2 linked regions of the Rattus norvegicus genome follow. The protein of the gene in region 1 interacts with the protein of each later gene in a biochemical or structural test. Links are inferred from orthologs where the notes say so. Each region holds a gene or a part of one and is shown on either strand. Other genes may lie near its edges.

Evidence for each region.
Region 2: the proteins of Rbpj (region 1) and Spen form a complex in vitro, tested with the Homo sapiens proteins (2 studies listed by BioGRID and IntAct). The link is inferred for Rattus norvegicus from reciprocal best matches to the Homo sapiens genes RBPJ and SPEN.

The regions. Positions count from the first base shown.
Region 1 is NC_086032.1:61,559,668-61,563,483, reverse strand, and holds part of Rbpj (recombining binding protein suppressor of hairless), read left to right. Parts: intron 1-2,871; coding exon 2,872-3,046; intron 3,047-3,816. UniProt on the Homo sapiens protein: Transcriptional regulator that plays a central role in Notch signaling, a signaling pathway involved in cell-cell communication that regulates a broad spectrum of cell-fate determinations.
Region 2 is NC_086023.1:159,058,651-159,062,466, forward strand, and holds part of Spen (msx2-interacting protein), read right to left. Parts: coding exon 2,771-3,816; intron 2,322-2,770; coding exon 1,821-2,321; intron 1,698-1,820; coding exon of another isoform or gene 1,695-1,697; coding exon 1,500-1,694; intron 1,265-1,499; coding exon 1,106-1,264; intron 776-1,105; coding exon 644-775; 3' UTR 1-643. UniProt on the Homo sapiens protein: May serve as a nuclear matrix platform that organizes and integrates transcriptional responses. In osteoblasts, supports transcription activation: synergizes with RUNX2 to enhance FGFR2-mediated activation of the osteocalcin FGF-responsive element (OCFRE).

The sequences.
Region 1 (3,816 bases):
GTGACTCATAGAGTGCATAGGCAGCACCAGAGCTGGAGAGATGGCTCACTGCTTAAGAGCACTGGCTGCTCTTCCAGAGATCCTGAGTTCAATTCCCAGCAACCACATGGTGGCTCACAACCATCTGTAATGGGATCTGATATGCCCTCTTCTGATGTGTCTGAAGAGATCAACAGTGTACTCATATACATAAAATAAGTAAATAAAGGCAGCAGCAGGAGGCAGCTTCCTGGTTGTCTTAGTTGTAAATTAGATTTCTATTGGGAAACTAATCCCTCATTTTCTGCTTCGCAGCATTGTAATACTCAGATAGTAATGAGAATGGATCTCACAGCTTCAGTTTTCTGCCACCTTACCTTCATCCTTGCTGGGAAGTAACTGCTGACACATGATAGATAGAGCATGGGTCTGGGCATAGTAGTCTTGGCTAACCGACACCAGTCCGAAAAAGTTACACAGAGAAGGCTCTGTTTACTGGCTTCCTGACAGTTTTGTGAATTTAGAAAGCAATAATAGTCAGTATACTGCTTTTGTTCAGGAGGACGGCTTATTCATTTAATATACTCACTAATTCAATATTTTCTCGTAATATTAAAGTTTTAAAAATGATTCTGATCTCAGTGACTACCCAGCATCCAAAGCATCATCCAAAAGCTATCCCTTATTTATTAGCTCTTTGTTGGCTATTTTGGTATTTTTGTTTTATATTTGACACTAGGATAAGAGTGTTGAGGGTAGTGAACTAGGAGTTAGAATTCTTAGTCACATTTAGTCATGTTTAAGAAGACCTTAAACCTAACCTTCAAGTCTGGATATTTGTCTTTAGGTCAACATTTATAGTTTTTTAGTCAATACCATATGTTGACCATGGACTTTAGATAAGGCTTGGTGCAATATTTATGACAATAGTGACAATAGTTAGTGCTTGTTGTAAAAGAGAACAGTAAACCATCTTAAATTATGACCCTTGAGCTTTAAAAAGCATGAGTTGATCTATTTTCCTGTTAAAATAACTTCTGGAGTTAAATACAGCAGATTGCATGCTTAGCCATTCAGATCTTTAATGAGTAGATGGGCAGTTAATAAAAAAAAAGCCAGGGATCTCGCTACCATTATGTCTAACTGTTGGCTGAACTAGATTTTAACCAGTTCTAGCTCTCAGTCATTCACCTTCAAGTGACGTGATCCTAAAGCCATCTAATCAATAGGGTCATTGACTGTCCCTCCCTGGATCCTGGTACTAAGCTCCTTGGGGGCTGTCTCTGCATGAAACCCTTCCTTCTGTCCAGTGTTAGACCTTATTATAGGAGTCCTGGGTGTTGATAGGGCACAAGTGCACATGTGCTGTGAGGAGGTAAAGGAAGGACTCCCTTCACCACCAAGGACCCAGGCTGTGATCTGTCCCTTCACTGAGCTACCTCACCAGCCCTTGTCCATCTGCTTTATATCTGCTAGACATACTTTCTTTCCTGATGTAGGTTATACCTAATAATGCTAGGGCTCAAAATGAACTGATCTGATCTTAGGCCTTTCCATTTCCAAGCTCAAGTTCCCTTGTTTAGATACAAATCTTAGTTTTGTCCTGTGACTGTCTGCTCTAGTACATTAACTTTATCTTATGTTCCAAAGCAGAACACTTTCAGCTTTGACCTTTAGTTAGTGCTTGGAAAATATGAGCCTAGCTATGTATGAATGTATGCCATATCTAAGTGTGTAAGTGGACCACCACTGCGAAGGACAGTTTATTGCAGTTAGCTTTTATTGCTATTGTCTTATTTTGCCTTTCAAAATTTAGAATGTTCGAGATCACATTTAAATTTTCTTTATGTAACTTTGATATAGAGACAAACTATTGTAGAACTTTTATCTATTACTAACAGTATATATTGATAAAATTTTAAGAACAAAGACCTAGAATTCACTAGCTACTTTCTAATGAGTGGTACTTGTTCTGCATTTTAAAAAAACCCATAGCAGAAGTAGTTGAAATAAAATTTAGACATCATTTATCCTGTTTGGTAAAAGAAGTCAGTATTTTGGCCCAGGCCCCTTAGTTTGTGGTGATTAAGGAAATAGGATGAGAGCTTTAGAGCTGTTACCCACAGGTAAAGTTGTAGCATTTTAAACATTTCGGCAAATGCATGTTTCCTTTTGTACCCTTAAAATAGTTCTTTAGTATATCCTTAAAGAATCCAGACTGCGGGCTGGAAAGATGGCTCAGTGGTTAAGAGCACTGGATGCTCTTCTAGAGGTCCTGAGTTCAAATCCCAGCAACCACATGGTAGCTCACAACCATCTGTAATGGAATCTGATGCCCTCTTCTGGCGTGTCTGAACACCAGTGTACTTATATATAATTAAAAAAAAAAATCCAGAATGCTTTATGCTCCCATTCAGTCTAGCACGATTTTCCTTAGTTGTAAGTGGTTACCACAGCATTCAGACATACGAACAGAAGCGTTATTATGAGCCACTTTGAAACTGTACCCAGTAGGGAGCTTTTTACGTGCTTTACTCTTACGATAGGTCTATTGCAGGTAGTCATGAGCTTTACTACAAGGATGCAGTACTTGGCTGCAGCATTGAGTGGTGATTTCTGAAACCTAGACTAAAACAAAGGAGTAAATGTGGGCCCTAGAAAGACTGTGTTGAATTCTCTGTCTGTGTGTGCGCCTGCATGCAGCTGATGGCCTCAGATCACACTGTGCATGGTTCCGAGCCACCGTGTGAGTGCAGCGGATTGAACTCAGGCCAGGACCGCTGGAGAAGTCTAAAGCATGTCTGAGCAAATGTAGCCACATCATTCTGAGCTGAAGGCGCATAAGTAACCAGCAAGGGTTTCCCGCTGTTACACTTTGCTTTTCTTCTACAGAACTACTGCACAGCCAAAACATTGTACATATCTGATTCAGACAAGAGGAAACATTTCATGTTGTCTGTAAAGATGTTCTATGGCAACAGTGATGACATCGGTGTGTTCCTTAGCAAGCGGATAAAGGTCATCTCCAAACCTTCCAAAAAGAAGCAATCATTGAAAAATGCTGACTGTACGTATGCTCACGCTTATTTGATCCCAAATCTCACATTACATGGCTGAGACAAACATTTGAAAATTTAAAGGTTGTTTTGTCAGTAACCAGTTCCTTGTTAACTACTAGTTTTTGGCCTTACTTACTATGTTTTAAATTAAAGTATGAATGGATATTGTTTGGCCTAATGAAGTGATTGATCTCAGTTATAGTGTTCTGAGAATCTCAGTAACTTCCTGAGGATTACTTTAGCATGGTTTCTTACTTACTGTTTCCAGGGGCATTTAGGGAAATGGAGGGGTTTTTGCTCTTTTTTATCAGGGTGACTAGGTAGGAAGATAATGCTTTACTCCAGTGATGCTAAATGTCCAAGAGTCCAAAAGCACAGTCCTTTGAGAGCGACAGAAGTGCCCACTTATAAACGCATTCTGGTGTGCTCTGGGGAACAAGCCGAGGGAGGAGCGAAGGTCTGCACAGCAGACACTGCTGCTTCATTGGCAAGTTACAGTTGTGTTCTGTCTGCGGTGTCTGCAGTTCAACACACGTGAGCTTGCTTGTCTGACTTTCTTCTCTTCAGTTTTTATTGAGTAAACTTTGAAGAAGGCAGCATGATGCAGCCGTCTCCCCACCCACAGTGGGTTCACTAGTTCACCGCTTCCCCTTTCTGAGTCTGCAGCGGGGGCATCAGAGCCTCAGGCATCCTGTCCTCTCACCTGGCTTCTGTAGTAGCGACGCTAATGCGTGCCTTCTGACGTCACACCTCACGTCATACCTCTCTTATTTTTTTT
Region 2 (3,816 bases), on another chromosome or scaffold:
AATCCTTCTGTTCGCTTTTACTCAACTGTAAACTGTACATCCGGTGAGTTGAAGGTGGCGGCGGCGGCGGCGGCAGGAGAATTAAGAAAGATGACTGTCTGATGAGCAGGGTAAGGGAGGAGGAGGGGATGGGGCAAAAACCCAATGAAATGTTCCTGACCCCAAGGTTTCAGCACAAGTCCCAAGTCCTGCATGAGTCCACGGCGTGCTCAAGTACACGGCCAGAGCATCGCAGCCCGTGTTGACTTGCGAGTCACTAACTTAGTGCAAAGGCTGATCCATTCTGTTTAACAAAACAGAAGAATCCCACAGCCCGGTTCCTTTTCTCCAGGTGAGGAGAGAAACCCAGCCCCTAAGGTTTCTGCGAGTCCATGGGTCGGTGGTCTGTCCTGGGCGAGAATTTCATGTAAACATACAAGCAGCACCACCCCCAGAGGAGGTCGATCCATAGAGCTGGGCGGGCACGAGGGCGAGGGCAGCTGGTGGCGCCTGGCAGTCTGCCCCTCAGCAGCTTCCCCTCTGCCTGGCTGGGTTGTCCATGGTTCTGTCCTGTGTTCATTTTTTTATTTTATTTTATTTATTTATTTATTTTTTTGCAGCAGAGCCTCAGGAAAACGCCCTGAGGTGGCGACCATTCAGAGCCTCACACTGAGGCAATGACAATCATGAGGTGGGGAGAGATGTTGGAGATGCTGGCAAGGAGGTCAGGGGCCAGCCGGGAGAGGTGGCTCTCGGAGAACTCACAGGGTGGGAAGATCTGCAGCACATAGGCGGGCTGGGGAAGGAGAGAGAGAGTGGGAACCACCATCTTCCGTGACCCTCCCACCCCGCTTGTGCCTGGTAGGCAGGGCATCAGGGCTTGGTGCCATGTTACCAGCTCTACAGTTCAAGGTGTACACTACCCCTCCCTCAGCTGTCCCCTAGCCCCCCTCTCCAGGATGGGCAATTGGTGGCCATTACCCATGTTACTTACATGCCCACCTCCTCTAGCAACTCCTGGGGTATTCTGGTTAGTACGAGAATATCCACCCTATCTGGTAGACCAGCCCTCCTGCCCTGCCCTAAACCGGTTCTACTTGGGAGTAGGATAGGACAATGGACCAACCTGATTGGAGCCAGGATTGGGGACATTGATAATCCCTGCTGCTTGCTTGGCCTGCAGGTAAGTGATAAAGGCAGCCTTGAGGGACTCGGTCTGGCTTACGACATCCTCCTGGTCACGGCCACAGGGCAGAGCCAGCAACAGGCAGTAGTCTGTTTCCACCTGCAGCAAAGGGGAATGGTTAGGGATCTCCTGACTAGCCAAGGTGCTCTATCTAAGATGGCTGTCACAACACGTGTGTGCCCTGAGAGCATGTGCGTGCGAGCGCTCTCGCGGTCCTGAGGTCTCTACCCAAGCAGAGCTTCTCTCACTGTCTGCTTCCAGAGTTGTCGCTGCTGTGTCTTCTTGTCCCTCCCTCCCTGTGAAGTGCATGGGTGTTTACCCGGCCCACACTTACTGTCATCCTCCTGGCAACTCCTTCCAGTTGCGAGGCCTCCAGTCGCATCCTTTGGGCGATCCGCAGCGGGGGGCCGCCTTCAGAGAGGGGCAGGGAGCGGTGAGCCAGGACGTTGTTGCCAGAGACAAAGTGGAGCTGCACAGCAGCTGTGTCGTTCTTGAGGGCCAGCAGGCCCTGCCACACGATGGGGTACTTCTGCTTAGCAGGACAAACAAGAGAAACAGGGTCACGGCTTGTCCAGCATGGCCCTCAGCAGCCTGCTGGTCTGCGTTAACACTTAGAACCAGGTCAGCACGTCTTGAGCAGCCTCTGCCATCTTACCTTCAGAAGCTGGACCATATCCACGGGCCTTTGTGGTGTCCCGTGTGGAGCAGAGTCTTGCTTTGGGGCTGGCTGGGCTTCAGCATGAGGCAGAGCCAGTCCGGGTGGGGTGCTCGTGCCTGAGTTTACGGGGACAAACAATGGCTGCTTTGGGGCAGCCTGAGAGGCAAGAGGGGTTGGGAGGTCCGGCTTCATGGCGACTGACACGGGGGAGGGATGGGCTGGTTGGGGGGTTTCCCCCGGTGCCCTCTGAGCCTGAGCATGTGGCTCAGACGGCCTGTTCGTGGGCATGGCTGGGAGGCGAGTCTGCTCTATCCCTCCTGTCTGTGTCCCCTTGGCTTCTTGGGAGACCTGAGGAATCTTGCCACTTGGTGGCTGGGCAGGCTGGCTGAGCTGGGAGGGCTGGCAGGGTGGGGCAGGTGGTACAGGCTGTGTGGACTGCGTAGATGGGGCAGGCTGTGCAGGCTGCGTAGACTGCAAGGGCTCACTTTCGGGGGGGCCCTGGAGTTGGGAAGAAGACAAAGGGACAGTCAGAACTGGCTGTACAAAAGCCCCTGCTCCCAACAAGAGCTCAGTGGGCCCAGAGAGAGGCACCTGTGTCTCACGGGTAGTGGAGCTCACCTCATGTTAAGAAGCACCGAACATACTTCTCACCCTACAGGTAGGAGCCCTTGCACAAAGTATCTGACCCACTCCCCACCTCGACTGTCCCCCTGCCTTTCTAAGGTCTATTTACTTCATGTTCCTGAGTACACTGTAGCTGTCTTCAGACACATCAGCAGAGCACCTCGGATCCCATTACATATGGTTGTGAGCCGTCATGTGGTTGCTGGGATTTGAACTCAGAACCTCTGGAAGAGCAGTAGTGCTCTTAACTGCTGAGTCATCTCTCCTATCCCCCAAACTTACTTTATTGAGATCTACAGTGTCCCGGAACCTGGCTTCCTCACCTGGGCCGAGGTCTTGGTCCTGGAGGGTAGGTTGATGGAAGAGGCGACAGGAAACTGAGTATGTGTGAGCTGAGCAGGGGCGTGGTAGGTACGGATGTCGCCATACCTATACTCTTGGAACAGCTCCCCGCTGGAGTGCACAATCTGCACCCCGTGGGTTACCACCACAGGCGGGGTCAGAGGCAGCCCCTGAAGCTGGCTGCTGGGGGTGACTGTGAGAATTCGGGCCTCACCATGAGGGGGTGGGGCAGGGGTCGGGACAGGGACAGGGACCGGGACGGGGGCTGGAGCTGGGACTGCTTTGGCATCTGAAGTCTTAACCACTTCTTTCACCAGTTGCTGGGGGGCCTTGCTGGCTGGTGGCACCTTCACCACGCCCTCTGTGGCCCTGGGCTGTTCACTGACAGCAGTCACATGTGGATGCACCATGATCCGGACGTCTCGGGGCACGGTGTATGGGTGTAACCGGTACTCGGACTGCATGACCAGCACTTCTGACTGCACAGGGGCTGCAGCTCGAGCCACAGGGAGGTGGTAGTGAACTTCTTCCTCGGGAGGGTGCTGTGTGGCCAGCGCGGGCACAGCAGTTGTGGCTGGCTGGGGCGTGCTCACACGCTGTGGGGCCCTTGCTTCTATCTGTTGGGGCTGCAGAGGGGCCCGAGGAGAGTGCAGGGTCTCTGGCCGGATGCTGTAGGTGATGCTGGGCAAGGTGGGTGTGCTCATTCTCACCTCGCCTTGGGACAGGTGACCGAGAGACACGGTCTGAGTGATGCTGTGGGGGGGCATGATGACAGACTGCTCTGGGTGTATGCTGGAGATGAACTGTGGCACTGGAATGCCTGCAGCCAGCATGACAGTTGCATTGGTGGAAAGCGCTGTGGATGTCGTGCTGCTGGGATGGCAGGCCCTTGGGAATGGGCCTGGTGTAGGCCCAGTGGGTCGAGGAGAATGAGTATCTGGTTTTGTGGTTGCCAAGTGGGCAATGGTTCGATCTGCTGGGTTGCTGGGTCCGGAAGGAACATGGTTCACTTCGGCCGGCAGTTTGC